Notamacropus eugenii: one gene and its partner. The protein of the gene in region 1 interacts with the protein of each later gene in a biochemical or structural test. Links are inferred from orthologs where the notes say so. Each region holds a gene or a part of one and is shown in the gene's direction. Other genes may lie near its edges.

Evidence for each region.
Region 2: of the proteins of DNA (cytosine-5)-methyltransferase 1 (region 1) and SETD7, one has a biochemical effect on the other in vitro, tested with the Homo sapiens proteins (2 studies listed by BioGRID and IntAct, with this or other methods). The link is inferred for Notamacropus eugenii from reciprocal best matches to the Homo sapiens genes DNMT1 and SETD7.

What each region holds. Positions count from the first base shown.
Region 1 is NC_092875.1:79,920,017-79,928,066, forward strand, and holds the start of DNA (cytosine-5)-methyltransferase 1, read left to right. Parts: upstream 1-4,948; 5' UTR 4,949-5,306; coding exon 5,307-5,386; intron 5,387-5,589; exon of another isoform or gene 5,590-5,673; intron 5,674-8,050. UniProt on the Homo sapiens protein: Methylates CpG residues. Preferentially methylates hemimethylated DNA. Associates with DNA replication sites in S phase maintaining the methylation pattern in the newly synthesized strand, that is essential for epigenetic inheritance.
Region 2 is NC_092877.1:136,236,935-136,243,864, reverse strand, and holds the start of SETD7 (histone-lysine N-methyltransferase SETD7), read left to right. Parts: upstream 1-3,905; 5' UTR 3,906-4,045; intron 4,046-6,930. UniProt on the Homo sapiens protein: Histone methyltransferase that specifically monomethylates 'Lys-4' of histone H3. H3 'Lys-4' methylation represents a specific tag for epigenetic transcriptional activation.

The sequences.
Region 1 (8,050 bases):
ATTCTTGGGCTTCTGTGGCTAAGTACACTGTTGTGGGGTGGAGAATAAAGAGAGAAGACACTGAGGTCCCAAAGACTTGACTTGGAGGATTAGGGGAACAGGGAGGAGGCCAGTCTGTTGAAGACCTCCCCCTAGGAGCCAGGTTCTTCTGGAGGTCTTTTCCTGTCACCTCCCCGACTCACTTGTTAGACCAGTTTGGGAATAGGGGAGTATTCTTGACATCCCATATTAGGGGTGAAAAAGCTGGGGTTAGCTCTTGTGGGGGTTATATGCTACTCTCACTGTGGACCCCAAGCTCAGTCCCCGTTCCCTACTCCCAGCTTTCCTCCCTAGTTATCCATCCTTTACTAGCTCCCACAAGGTATCAAATCCCCTAGAACATGTGAGACCTTTAACCCTAGCAGAATGGCTATTGCCCAGTTCAAGTCAGATGAAATTGGAAGAATAAATGCCCTGAGGCTGCTCCCCCTCCCTACCCCCAACTCTGCAGAAGAAAACCTGGAATCCTGTGGATGAAAGGGAATCAAACGGTACGAGTGACCATGTATATTTATGCCTGTGAGAGTACGAGTGCTTCTGTGTGTGTATGTGTGTCTCCATCCCTCCACTCCCTTGTTTTTCCTCAGTGACTTGTAGTTCGAATATTCCACATTTTTGTTTCTCTGGTCTTTGTTGAAAACTCAAGGGGAGGGGGAAACAGTTCTCTCCTTCCCGTCTAATGCTTTTTGTGTTATGACAAGGAAGTCATTCCCATTGGGGGTGGGAGGGGGCAGGGATCTTGCTGGCTACCTATAGTCCACTAATCGGGCAAAAGGGTCCTTCCTAATAGGACTCTTGAGAGGAGACTTTTTGCCAAAGACAACTGCAATGAAGATAAAAAGAAGAGAGAGGAACAAACCCTGTATTATGTCTGCCTTCTTGGGAAATCCCTCATGCCTCTCCCTTCCCTCAGCCTCTGACCTTGGGCTGATTAAATGGTTCAGTTTGACTTCTCTCAGAGTTTCCACTTTGAGCCCTGTCTTCTGCTTGGGTACTGCTTCTAAAGGCGAAATAAGACTTTTATCCTTCAGGCTTTGAGGGGTAGGCCCCTCTACACACACATTCTTTCCTTGCTGGGGGAGGTGGGGGGGGTGGGGCTGTCTGAGCTGGAGAGGCCACTCCAACCCCAGCCTGCCTTTTTTCTCAGCCTCCCTAGGCTACCTGTTGACTTGTTGACTCTGCTGCCCTAGAAACCCTCCTCCTCTCTTGCTTCTGCCAGGTCCCTCCCCATACTCCAAAGACAGGATCTTGGTGCTTCTAAGAACAGAAGGTCAGTGACAGACCCCCCCACAGGCTTGTCCTTCACTCTGGATAGCCATCCCCCAAAGAAAACTGACTGTAATGATTTTATTGATCCCTACCACTTACTGCTATCCAGGGACTTTTCCATATGGCTTTGTCAGTAGGACAGGAGAGCTGAATGGACACTCGAGAAAGTCAGGAACACCATGTTCTCAGGAGGCTGGTTTGATACATATTGGGCCACTCCCTGAAGAGACAGATTTCCTCCCCACCTCCCCCCATTAGCAGGGCATTCCTCTAGGACAAAGCCTTTTGCCCTCTTCAGCCTCAATAGAGGATTCTGAGGAAACTGAAGCACAGGGCAGGACCACATCTTGCCAAGGACAGCTGAGAAGAACGCAGGTATCCAGGTCCCTAGCATCCTTTCCAGCCACCAATAAAGACCAGAATTTTGGGGGAAAAGAAGAGCAGTGGTTTTCTACCCATCTACCACCACCACCACTACTACCACTCCCACATCCCCTCAACCTCACAGGAAGGTAAAGGCTGCCAACTCCAGTCACAGAAAAGCTCCAGATGTATAGCTATAGTGAATGGTCTCTCCAGAACCTCTCCCCAGTCAAGCCTCCTTCTTGGGTCCTAGGAAAACTTCCTTGGTTCCTTCCATTTACACTGGGCATAGTGTGAGGCAGCTCCTAAGGGTGAACCATGGATTTCCTCTGAAAGAGTTCAGGACAGATGGGACAGGGGTTGGGATGAAGGTGGTGTGAGAAATGAGCCCATCTTACAAGCCCCGAACTGTGAGAAACATGCTTTCCTTAAAAAAGGAACAATGCCTGTTGTGAAGCCAGGAAAGCCTTTATTAATCTTTACTTCCATCCATTCCCCCTGAATGGACAGGTAGCCTCCCCAGTAAGGTTACAGGATGACTATAACACGTTCAGGAAAATGGAACTTCTTATACTGTTTTCCGAACTTTGGATCTCCCTCGACACTGTCCCCTGGTCATGTGACTTTATGTTCTCTGTGATGGGCTTTCCTTCAAACAGCTCATCAAGCCTGTGAGGTTTCTGACCTTTACCTGACCATCCTAGGTCATGACTGTGGAAACAGAACTTCCTTGTTTCCCACAGTGGTAAGAAGAATAATTAATTCTTCAGGTCATAAAGCCTTAGTTCTCTATTAACACTCAGCAACATACAACCAAAGACACAAGGAATGCTCTTAGGAATATGTGGAAAGAGACAAACCCAAAGACAAACCCACATACTTATTTCCAAGTATACCTATATATAGGCACAGAAAAAAAGGAGACACAGTGTACTGCATGCACAAGGTACATTTAGAAAAAGAAAACCAATACATGTAGACACAAAAAGAGCTGAATTTCAGAAAGACCCTCACAGTTCTCTCTTGACCCAGCTGCACACTCTTTCTAGACTAAACCTTCCCAGGGCCTCCCACCCCCTTAAGGTCAGGAAGAAGGGGAGCTCGGAGACAACTTTGTTTAGAAACTTGAGCTGTTGGCCAGAGGCACTGGGTAGCAGCTCCTCCAGTGGACACAATCCCACATGGCATTTGGGTGGGGCTACAAGTGTGGGGGGGAGTTTTGAAGAGATGCTTGGTTATGGAACTTGGAAACTCACATTTTAAAAGGAGCCATTGAGTTCTGTAGTTCCCCTCTTTTTTTGTGCCTCAATTTCCCCCTCTGTAGAATGGCAGCAACATTGCCCCCAGCTCCCAGTGATGGAAAGGACTTTTGGGTCAGTTTTCTTTAACCCAGAATGGCCCCACAGAGATGGAATGTCCAATTTTCTGGAGGAAGGAGTGGTTCCCATAAGCCCAACCCCGAAAAAAGTGGGGAACTGAGCCTGGATACAAAATGTTCTGGAGAAAGTCTGGTTCCACACCCCATGTCATAGTTTGGGGATAGGTCAGGAAACCTGATCCTATCCCCCACCCCTCCATACACACACCTCTCAAGCCTTTTCTGGGCCCCAGACAAGACTAGAATACCCAGTTCAGCAGGTAAGAGGGGGTATTCCACCTGTTTTTTTCTGCTACATTTCAGTGAGGGCATCAGTTTGTGCAAAATTCATCTCTACAGGTCTTTTGAGTCAGAGATATGGGAACAGGATCGGGCAAATCCCAGGAGCAGACACCCTGCAGGCTGATGTGGTTCTGTTGGGCTGAGAAGGGGTGGTGCTGTCAGTTCTGGGCCCCTGCACTTGTTTACATTTACTCTCCTCTACCTTTGGGAGAGGGAGCTCAGTAAAGCTGTCAGTCCATGTGGGTGACTAAACCTACTGCACTGTTGGTGACTCAGCTCCACTGGTCTCCTGGCTGACTGACCACTATGTCACTGGCAATGTACATTTCCCACTGAGTCTGACCTTGGTTTGGCTGAAACTCAGATTCTTGATCCACTTCTGAACTCTGCCTCTACCCTTGGGAACACAGCAGGCGGTTGTAATTGGGAACAGGAAGCATTGTTCAAACTCTCAGGCTAGTTGAAGCCTTTTCTAGTTCTGCACATCTTTTCCACCCAGGCTAGGCAGGGACCTTTCCAAAGTTTACTCATTAACAGCCTAGAATGCCAGACCATTGGATAATTTCCTTTCCCTTAGTGACCAAGAAGGGATCAATTATGGGATGGGTGGCTTCAGATTCAAGCCCAGAGCTTTTTAAAGAATCTCTGAAAATGGAGAACACTAATATTTTGAGTCTAATAATAACAACCTGGGGACCCAGGTCCATCCTGCGTTTTGGGGGGTGTTTTAGCTTGTCAACAGACTTTCTTATAGGCCAGGTATCTTTCTCAATTACCACTTTCTTCTGAGTCATTTCAAGATTCCTTAGCCACAGGTTTACTAGAATGGGGGCCAGTTAATCAGCGACAATAAGATTTTGGAGTCTGCTGACTCCTAGGGATCCAGCATTATCACATGGATAATAGGAACTAATGAATTGCATTGACTGACTAATACCGACCCAGCCTAACAACACAAGTTGATTGACCTCGTTGCCTCAGTTGTCTCCTTTGTAAAATAAGGGGGTTGGATGAGATGATCTGGAAGGTCTCTTCTAGCTCTGAATCCTACAATCCTACCATGGGGACATTGACTGAATAAGACAGAGTTATTGATACTGAACAGACAGATGCTGACAGATAAGACAGACTGACTGACACAGATCACCACGCAGTATTGGACGCTGACGGGGAGTGACCATCACACAGGTGAGTGTCCGGACAGACGGTCTGACTGAGGGCAGGAGTGAACAAGACTGAATGAATGGCTGCCCATAGGCAGGGGCTGCCCAAACAGGTAGGGGCTGAGCGGCCAGCCCCGCAGCAGCCCGGGCTAGCGAGACAAGGGACGGCCGGGATGGAGGCAGTAGATGACCAGCAGGCAGAGGCTAAGCAGACAGGCTGCGGCGGACGAGTTTCAGCTCCCACCCGGAGGGAGATCTGGGTCCCCAGGACTCATCCTCCTCTGCAGGGCTCAGGATCTAATGGCTGCCTTTCCCCTCTTCTTCATCCTAGGCTCGGAGCTCCCGAGAGGCACGTTGGGCCAGTCCATTTCTTCTCCCCCTCTCTCTTCGCCGCCGATGGTACAGGCCGCTCCTCTCTCCCCTCGGGCACCACGGGATGACGCCCACCGACCTCCTCCTTCCCCCTCCCCCTGCAGCACCGCGTGAGGCGGGGAGCCGAAGGGACTGCCCCGGAGGGGAGGGGAGTCGGAGCGGGGGGCGGGGGCCTCCATTTCCAATTGCCTCCCCCCGCCGGGACTTACATTTGGTACCGTCCTTCCCGGAATGGTCGCTTCGGCTCCCGCACCCCGTCGCCGGCCAGCCACCCCCTTCCCAGTTGGTATATCCCTCTCCTCTCCCCCTTCCCCCTCCCCTCTCGGCGGTTCTGGTTTCCGCGCGAAAAGCCGGCGGTCCGCGCGCTAGCCCCTGCGCGACCGGAGCCGGCTCCCTTCCGTCCCCCGGCCCGCTCCCTGCTCCCCACTCGGACCCGCGAGATGCCCGCCCGCACCGGTCCGGCCCCGGTGGCCGCGCCGGGCTCGCCCGGGCTCCCGCTGCCGGAGGAGGTCCGCAGACGGTAAGTGCCGCTCGCCCCCGGACTGCCGGGGCTCGGGCCGCGCTGGGCCTGGCTGGGCCGGTGTAGCGTCGCGCGGGCCGCCTGACAGGCCGGGCCGGAGGCGGGTCGGGCTCCAAGTCGGGGCGCGGGGCTCGCGCGCCCCGGCGGTTGGCCGTTGGCGGGGCTCGCGGCCGCGGGTCCCCTCCGGGGGCGTCGGTCCGCGAGGGCCCCGTCCGGCGTAGCTGCCGCTGCCGCCCTCCCCGCTCCCCGGGACATTTGGCGCCAAAACGCCGTGTCGGGTCGCGGAGGTGCGTGAGGAGGGAGAGGGGCGGCCCGGACCTGGGGCCGCTCCGACCTGCCCGTGGCCTTGGCCCCCGGGCTGGGCTGTCAGCTGGAGCCCGGTTAGGCTGCGGGCGTTGGGGGGCGCCCGTGAAGGCGGAGGCGCCGGGGTCCGGCGGTGCCAGTGACAGGAAGTGGGGGGCCCGGCCTGGGGGGCCCCCATCGCCTGCTCGTGCCCCGGCGGGGGCCGGGAATGGTCGTCTGGGACGTGGGGCTGCAGCCGGGAGGCCGCATTTGACCCACGCGAGAGCCGGGGCGCAGGCCTCCCCAGCCCCCATGGGGCCTTCCCCCTCCATCCTCTGGGTCGGGGTGGGCTTGCCCCGGCCTCCCTTCCTGAGGCATTCATTCTTGGGGCACGAGGTGGAGACGGGAGAACTGCCCCAGGCATGGGTTTCCCCTACCGCAGGATCAGTACCCGGCTGGTATTTCTCCTCGGTTTGTCCCTGGTGCCTGTGAAGACACGTGAAATGCCCCCTGGAGCCGTCTTTAGTCTCTTTCATGAAATTAATAGCAGAATCACTCATTTAGAAGGATTATTTTATCGTGTTTCCCTGCAGATTGACTGGTAGCGTTTGATTGTGTCTGTTGTGGGTAATTATGATAGCTAATACAAGGTTTCTGGGAAGGACCCTTCTCGCGGATCTAGTCGTTGGTTTGCTTTCTTTCTTTCCAGTGCCATTACAACTAATTAATTAGTTACAATTGTCTTTATTGTGGAAGGATAACCCGTGATTATTTTGTTTGTTACTGTAATTTATGGTTTTATTTTTTTCTTGGAAGGTGATTATGAACATGTGCAGGTAACTAAAGTGATTAGCACAGAGGTCAACTGCCTCGTCTACGTTGGCAGGAATTTTTCTGCGGACCCCGAGTGTCATCTCATTTTTAAAAAGTGTATTCTTATTGGGTGGCTTTGAGATTTTTGCCACCATGTTTAGTGGTTAGAGCCAAGAACTTCAAGTTTATCCTGGCTCTCCAGTGATTCACCAGGTGACCTTCGGCAACAAACTAAATCTCCCCCTCACTTGTCCCCATTTCAGGGAGGAGAAAATACTTACTTACATCGCAAGAGTTGCTATGATTAGTAAGGTCTTGGTATCATACATCTTCAAAGTGTAATATTAGGTATCTGATTACTTGATGTTATTTTAAATATTGTTTTAAGAGGGAGACACAGCTCCTAGCACCAAAAAGAAAAACCTATTTAATTATGCTTTGATGTTATTTTCATCAAGGCACTGAAGAAATGAATGAGTTTTAAATCTTAGTTGATGAGTTTAGAGTGCTGTGTTTGAGAGAGATGGTATAGAAACATTTTACACATTGTGCTTAGAGACCTTAAAGCAAATTCTTTCTGATTTCTTGGTATCCTCCCTAGGTTCTCAACTTAAACAATTCAAAGTGAGAGTTCTTTACAATTTGTCTTAAAACTTGAGGATCACTTTGTATCATAGTATGCAAAGTACAATAATGAGAATAGGTAAGATTTTGCTTAGTTTTGTTAATATTTGGATTAGGGGTTGGAAGACCTGCTCTGGTTCTGTATCTGTTACTTTTCTAGGTAACTTTGGGCAAGTCACTTTGAATCATATATTTAGAATGGATCTTGAAAGTCTTCTAGGCTTACCTCCTGTCTGATTAATGACTTCCCCCTCTCTTTCATCCCCATCTCTGCTAAGTTCAAGTTCTGGGTTGAATACCTCCATTTGATATTTTGATAGGGAATTTACTATCTTCTGACCTTGCTTTGTTAGAAAATTCTTACATATATTCATTCAGTTGTAAGTTGCTCAGTTACTCTTTTCAGATGCCACACTGAATTAGTAGAACATGGTTTAGTGAGAAAAGAGAAAACACTTTTCATTTCAGGATTACTTTTAGAATATCAGAGATGCAGAGTTAGAAGGGACATTCATTGATCATTGGTCTTAACACTACCAAGAGTGAGCTGGTCAGGTTTTCAGTATCCCTGAGAAGTGATTGTCCTGTTTCTGCCTAAGAACTTCGAGTATTGAAATGAGACTGAGGATAGCTCCAGAGTTCGCATTTATTTGGTGCTTTTTAGGTTAGAATGTGCTATCCTCAGAGAAACCCTGTAAAATACATAGGATATATACTAATCTTAGAATGAAAAGGGGCCTCCATAGCCAATGTCAGAATCAGGACTGGGATCATAGGCCTTCTCTGATTCCACTACAATGTCCTTCCCTCTTCCAATTGGTTTTTAAATAGCTTTTCATTTGCATTCTTTTATTATTGTAATTATTTGACTTATCATTATCCATAGTCTCCCCTCCCCTTAGACCTGGGATCTTTATAACTATCCATATAAAACCCAAATGTAGT
Region 2 (6,930 bases), on another chromosome or scaffold:
GGCTTAGTCATTAGAATTATTCAGCGTGTCTTCATTTGAGTGTTTTAATTTGCATATTACTTCCAATTCCCACAAGTTGTCCAGTGTTTCTCTGAAATCCTCATATCCATTATTTCTTACTTATATTCCCAGTTAACATCTACTTTGTTTCCGATGTTTTTGGTACCACAAAGAATCCAAAGAGTTTCTTTTAAGTGAGTCACCTAGATCCTACCAGCTTTGCAATGACTACAGTGATGGAAAGGAAAACAACACTAAAACCTGATGAAACAACCGATCTTGGTTCTGAAGGATAATTCAACGTATTTCCCTCCACCGGTAGAGTTAGAGAGATAGAGGGGACCATTGAGGAGAGAATGTGCCATGCTATCAGGCTTGGTTTCTGTGTCTATTGACTGTAATTTTTTTCTTTGTTACTGGGGAGATTTTTATGATGGCAGTAGTAATATCAGTCATTGACTGTGGTGTAATTTTTTTTAATACCAGTGAAACTTTATGAATAAATGGATCTGCTAACACATTAAAATGAATCTTTACCAAATATCCTGCTATTAGTGTTTTTAATTTTTTTTTTAAGTTCCTAGGGACCATTTTACCTTCAGTCTTCTGAAAATTTGGGGGAATTTTGAATAGAAGAAAGAAGGAAGGGAGGGAGGGAGGAAGGACTTATTAGTGCCTACTATGTGCCAGGCTAAGCACTTTACACATTCTATCTCATTTGATCCTCACAACAACTCTGAGAGCTGGGTGCTCTCATTAGCCCTGTTTTACCATTGAGGAAACTAAAGCAAACAGAGATTAAATGTCTTACCCAGGGCCATCAGCTAGTAAGGGACTGAGGCATGATTTGAACTCTGTGCTTCCTGACTCCAGGACCAGTCCTGGCCTCCAGGGTTAGAAGAATGGCCCAGGAAAGAGAGAAAGAAGGTGTGGACAGAAGAAATATATGTCTGTATTACTTCATGAGGACAGTACACACAAAAGACACATTATCAAGTACTCTTTGGAGATAATTATTCTATTTTTTGGTTGAGAATATGGCTACACTAATATGAAGAGGTTGACCATAATGGACTCACTAAAGGAGCACAGTTTAAGGCATTGGCTTTCTGGTTAGTTTGGGAACCTGCACATTTTACACTTTTCTGCAATGAGAGGAAATGATGCCCATTGATTGGCCTGGCCTCCTAAGAATTGGCCTGGCCTGCTTTTGTGGATACTATCTCACTACATGGATGATGTGGCTCTGACCAACAAGTCTTGAATGTATTGGTAAAAGCACTGCCCTCAGGAAGTTTGGTGATAGGAAAATTCTAACCCCAAATAACTTCCAGGAATGTGACTTCAATAGAAATTTAAAATGTTGCATCTGTCAGGCAGAGGGGAGGTCCTATGAGTAAATCAACCAAATCACCCAATTTCACTTAAAATAAGTTATAAATTGCTGTTCCCATTTACTAGGTTAAAATGCATTTTAATTAGAAAGAGGGTATAATAGGAAGTCTGATTACCTGAGGGACTAAATAAAACCTTAAGAGAAATTAATATTATACTATTATATTATTAATTGCAATTCATCCTTTTTTCCTTCTTTTTCTGTAAAGAGTTTGCATGTTGTCTTCCCCATTAGAAAGTGAGCTCCTTGAGGAAGAGGGATGCTGAACCTTTTTTTGTTGTTGTTGGTATTGACACCTCTTTGGCAATTTGGTGACGTCTATGGACTGACTGACTCTATCTCTGAATAATATGTATAAATACATAAAATACAATTTTAAAAAAGATTACACAACAAACTAATTATGCTGAAACAAAGATAGAAACTTTTCCCCATCCAAGTTCATGGATCCTCTGAAATATATCCATAGACCATTTGGGGACATGTCCACGCTAGATTTAGAACATCTCCCTTAGATTAACCCAAATCAGTTTAGGGCAGCATTGGTAAGGCCAACTATGGGAAAGAAGCTATATCAGAAGAAAGATAACGGGGAAGCTTCTCCAAGCCTTGCACTGGTTCTCCTAAAAATGAAGGCAGTGACTATATACTCAGAAAATTGTTTTGGTAAGTGTCCTTGGATGCACTCTGGCTTCAAGTATGGGTAGAGCCCCATCACTTTTCCACTTTTCCATCTGTTGGGTAAGTGAGACACAAGTAGGTAACCCATGTTTATAGGAAAGGTATCACATAGGGAAAAATATGGACAGGGCAGTTCAGACCCTATTATTGTTCCCAAACTCTCTGGATCGTGGTTCTGTCTGAAGCAGAATCTTCCCAGTTTTCTATCTGATAGCATCCCAGGCTCAGGTTCCCAGGCTATGCCCCCTCATCAGTCATTTGACTACTTCTTTGAAAATGAAAGCCTCCAGAGTCTGAGAGAGAAGAGGAAGTTCCACTGTGCTGTTATTTGAGGGATTGATTGCCCTTTTGTTTTGTTGTTTAATTTTCTTTTCACAAATAGTATTTTGGAATGAGGGTTTTTTCCCTCGTCCTCTCTGATCAGGTGAAGTTGATTTCCAAAGGTTAAAGACTCGGGAATTTTTCCAACATTCATTTGTCTGTATTGGGAGAGTAGTACAGTAGGAAACATTCTGGGTCTGGAGTTCTGAGTTCCAATCCTGACTCTGAACCTCCATTACATTTTACTTACTTTGTAAGCATTTAAAGTCAATTCTCTTTTCTAGACCACAGTTCTGTAAAATGAGGATTTGGGACTGTGACTTCTAAAGTCTCTTTCAATTTGAGGTCTCAAATGTTATAGGTTCTGGTCAGTACAGCACAGCACCATTGGGAGATTACTTTAATACTTAGAGCAGGAGTTCTTAACCTGGAGTCCATGACCATATTTTGATAACTACATTTCAATCTAATTGATTTCCTTTCCAAATCTTACATTCTTTGATGGTATAAAACCAGTATACTAAGGAGTCCCGGTTTCACCAGACTGACAAAGGGATCTCTGACTCAAAAAAAATTAAGGACCTGATTTAGGTGGATTTCAGAACCTCCAAACGTTCTAGAATACTTATTCAAAATCAACAAAAGTCTGGTCTCATGACTTTCTCATCAGTTATTACTCAAGTTTGTAAGACTCAGAGACCCTAAGGAGGGAACTAAGATCCAGACATGTTATGGAATTTGCCCAAGGACACACAAGTGAAAAGCAGTGGAGCTTGGATTGAAATCCAAGGCCTCCAAGTCCAGGCAACATCCTCTTTCACACTACCCACAGCACACAGCCACATCAAGGCCAAAGACAAAGCCGCTGCCCTCCCTGATAAAGATATCTCTTCTCTTCTTGACCTTTCTCCCTTTCCCCCTTTTTAACCCTTTAAGCCTATGTTTTTATAGGGGGATATGTTTCCTTTTTTGTTCTTTCCCTTATTTTAACCTATATCAGGTTCTTCCCCTGGGGTCTGCGATCTTGTTTTAAAAAAAAAATGTATCTTTTGATAACTGAATTTCATATAATTAGTTTGCTTTGTGATGCTATGTATATTATTTTCTGTATTTAAAAACCTTATTCGGAGAAGGGGTTTCGTAGGCTTTCCAGACTGCTGGAGGGGGCCATGACACACAGAAGAGGTTAAAAACCTCTACCCTTAATTCAGCAGCTTACTTCTCCTCGGGGCAGTCTCCTCCCTCTACCAACCTTTGGGCCCTGCCCTGTTGGGAATTTGTTTTGCATTCTGGGAGAAAGAATGACTGCCAGAGAACCCCTGCCCTCCTACAGCCTGCTTCCCCCACACTGGCTAGAGAGAAGAGTGAGGGTCTCCTCTCCCACATCCTGCCTGGTTACCTAGCAACCTCCTTCAGCCCTCTCTGACAAGTCACCGCCTGCTGATGCACACCCAACAAAGAGGAAAGTGACACCACAGCTCCAGGCACTCCCTTTACAAGTCCCCTCCATCACCTTGTTCATTAACCTTCATTAAGGGGTTTGCCAAGGGCCCCTCGATGCCCCCTCTCTGGTGGGGTCACTGCTCCATTATGTGACTCCTCATGTGGATCTTGGAGTGATGGCAGTTCAACATTATCAAATTACGGGTATGTACTGGGCATTTCTGATTGAATCCCTAATTACTTCCCATGTCCCATCACCTTTCTCACACAAGGTATGACCATAGTCATTTTATCGGCATCTTAGAGGCAGTCTAGCATGTGTGTGCGCGCGTGTGCCAGCATCCATATTCATGCATGTGTTTTTTTTGTTTCGATAATCCATCCTCCCCTTTGAATTTGTCATTCAAAGAAGGTTTGTTTGTTTTTAAGTCTCCTGCCAATGTGTCCCCTCCTTTTCATACAGGAGGGGGCTGGCTCTGCCGCTATTGCTCAGAAACCATTTGCTCTCTCCACACACCCTTCCTGGGTTGCCTGCTCCAAGTCAGTAGTTCGTATTGGGATTTCGGGCTGTGTGCATGCCCTGATCTAGGCTATAATGGTGGAGAAAGTAGGGATGCAGCAACTGCCTAGAAACCCAGGAAAGGGAGTATTGTCTAGCCTTCTGCTTTACCACCCCTTTCAAACAGGCTATCAGCCTCATGAGCAAATCTAGATCCCAAGGAACTAAGTCAATAGGAGGAAAAGAAGAGGTACCCAGCAGGGCTATGAAAAATTAAAAACAACTTCATTGTCCAATGGTAAGGCAAAGGTTAAACAATCTGCTGTATAGGAACTTAATGGAACACCATGGAGCTATCGAAAATGACAAGCATGTGGATCATGGAGCCTTGTGGAATGGTCATCTGAAATATGTTGATTGTTGGGGGAGAAGTGAAGTAGACATGCGTACTTACTGTCTGTGGGACCTTTGGACCAATCACTTCCCCTTCCTTCCTCTCATTTTCCCAATTATAAATTAGGAAGTTGAACTAGACCATGTTCAAGATACCTTTCAATCTATAAAGAACTCTCCCTATGGAAACAATGAACAGTTTCTCATAAGAGAGTTTGCCTGGGCTACTGAGAAAGTGCCTAGTCCACGCTTACTCAGCTAGTACATGTCAGAGGCAGAATTTAAGTCAGATCTTCCTGACTCCAAAGGTTAGCCCTCTATCAAGATACCTTTGGAATCAGGTAAAGTGAGAAAAAGCAGAACAAAGGGCAGAATGGAAAAATTAATTATGTCTATAGAGTGTAATCAAATAAAATACTGGATTTGGAGTTAAGGATATGAGTTTGAATCCAGTTCTGCCACTTATTTTCTGAATGACCTTTGGGAATTCCCTTCTGCCTTCCTTAGCCTCAGTCTCATCCTCTGAAAAATGAGGGATTTGGACCAGATGATCTCAGAGATTCCTTCTAGCTCTAAATCTTTTATCCTGTTTACATTAGTGAAGATGGAAGAAGATTTGGGAGTAATGGTTAGAATGTATATGTGCATCTAGTCCTTTTTGTCCAGTTATTTCAGAATCCTAATTTTTAAAAGAAAAGAAGAATTGAGATCCTTTAAGGACTTCCTATCTACAAGGCAGATTTCTGCCTCAGGGTCATGAATTTTTACAACACTATGATTCACCATGAGAAAAATAGGGATGCTGCCTGCCCACACACACACACATACGCACACACACATCCTCCCTCCCAGGGGGCCTTCTGCTAAGGAAAGCCAGAGATATGATACCCTCAGGGGAAGTTACCTTCTAGAATACTAAGACTGGCAGAAAAGACTTAGAGGGTACAACAAGAATCCTAGGCTAATTTCATTGTAACTCTCTGATATTCCACCATTAGAACATCTGTCTCTCTAGTTAAGAGATCATGTCGTCCTAAAATGAAAAACATCCCTGAGGTTGAAACAATCATTGAAGTTCCCACAAGGGCATCAACGCTCTCTTATCTATCTTTGGATTTATTCCATTGTCTAATACAATTTATTTCACATACTAGGTACTTGATAAATGATTGCTGAATGAATTAGTTAATATTAATTATGGAAGAATGGGGTTTGAGTTTGTGTGTGTGTGTGTGTGTCTTGGGAGGAGGGCACTTGGAATGCTCATGAGGGCAAAGGTCACCCTTTCCACTTCCTCAGAGAAGAGGTGGGAAAGTGCTGAAGACAAACTCCTCCAATTTCATAGTTCTGTCCAGGCTGGTCATGAGTGTAATACTGGAATTGAGTTGTGAATAAGATACACCCCACCCCCTAGCCCAGCAAGTTCTGTATAAACCCGAAGTAGAAGAGGAAAACTTAGGGAACCCATCTCTACTCCGGTGGCTCCAGGGGGTTGCTGAAGCCAGCTCCTGAAAATCAATTGTTATGTTTTCAGTGTGAATGCTTACACTTTGGAAATCAGCAAAATCCATGAATAGGGGCTCGATTTTTTGTTTTGATGATAGCCCAGAACTAACAAAGTAATGGAGAAAGTGTCAAAGACACAGATGATCCCTAAAGGTGTGTCATTCTCTCCCCACACCCCCCTCCCCCCAAGAGCTAGTTGTTAAATGTAAAAGCGCACCACTGGACCGTGTGGCTCCTTGAACTCAGGTAAGAGAAGCCCTGAAGTGCAGGGAGAAGGGAGCTGCCTTAGAGGGTCCTAAAATCATTTTTCTTGGGTAGCATTTTGAGGCCTTTTTTCACATATCCCCAGCTCTTAGAACAGTACCTGATGCATAAGAAGCGCTTAATAAACGCTTGTTGACTGACTAGTCAAAGTTTGAAAAATACTTTTATACACAGCCTCTTATTTGAACTTCTCAAGTCGGTGAAGTGGGCACACTGGCAGAGGGAGAGAGGTGAGGTCTGCAAATTCATTGGAGAATTCTCTGTGCGGAAACTCCTTCCAGCATGAGAGCAGCCTGAAGTGCCTGGGATATTGACAGATTAATTGACTTGCCAATGACCACAGAGCTGGTATGTTATCAAGGCAGGATTTGAACGCAGGTCCACTTGACTCCAAGGTCCACCCTCTAACCACTTTGTCAGGCTGCCT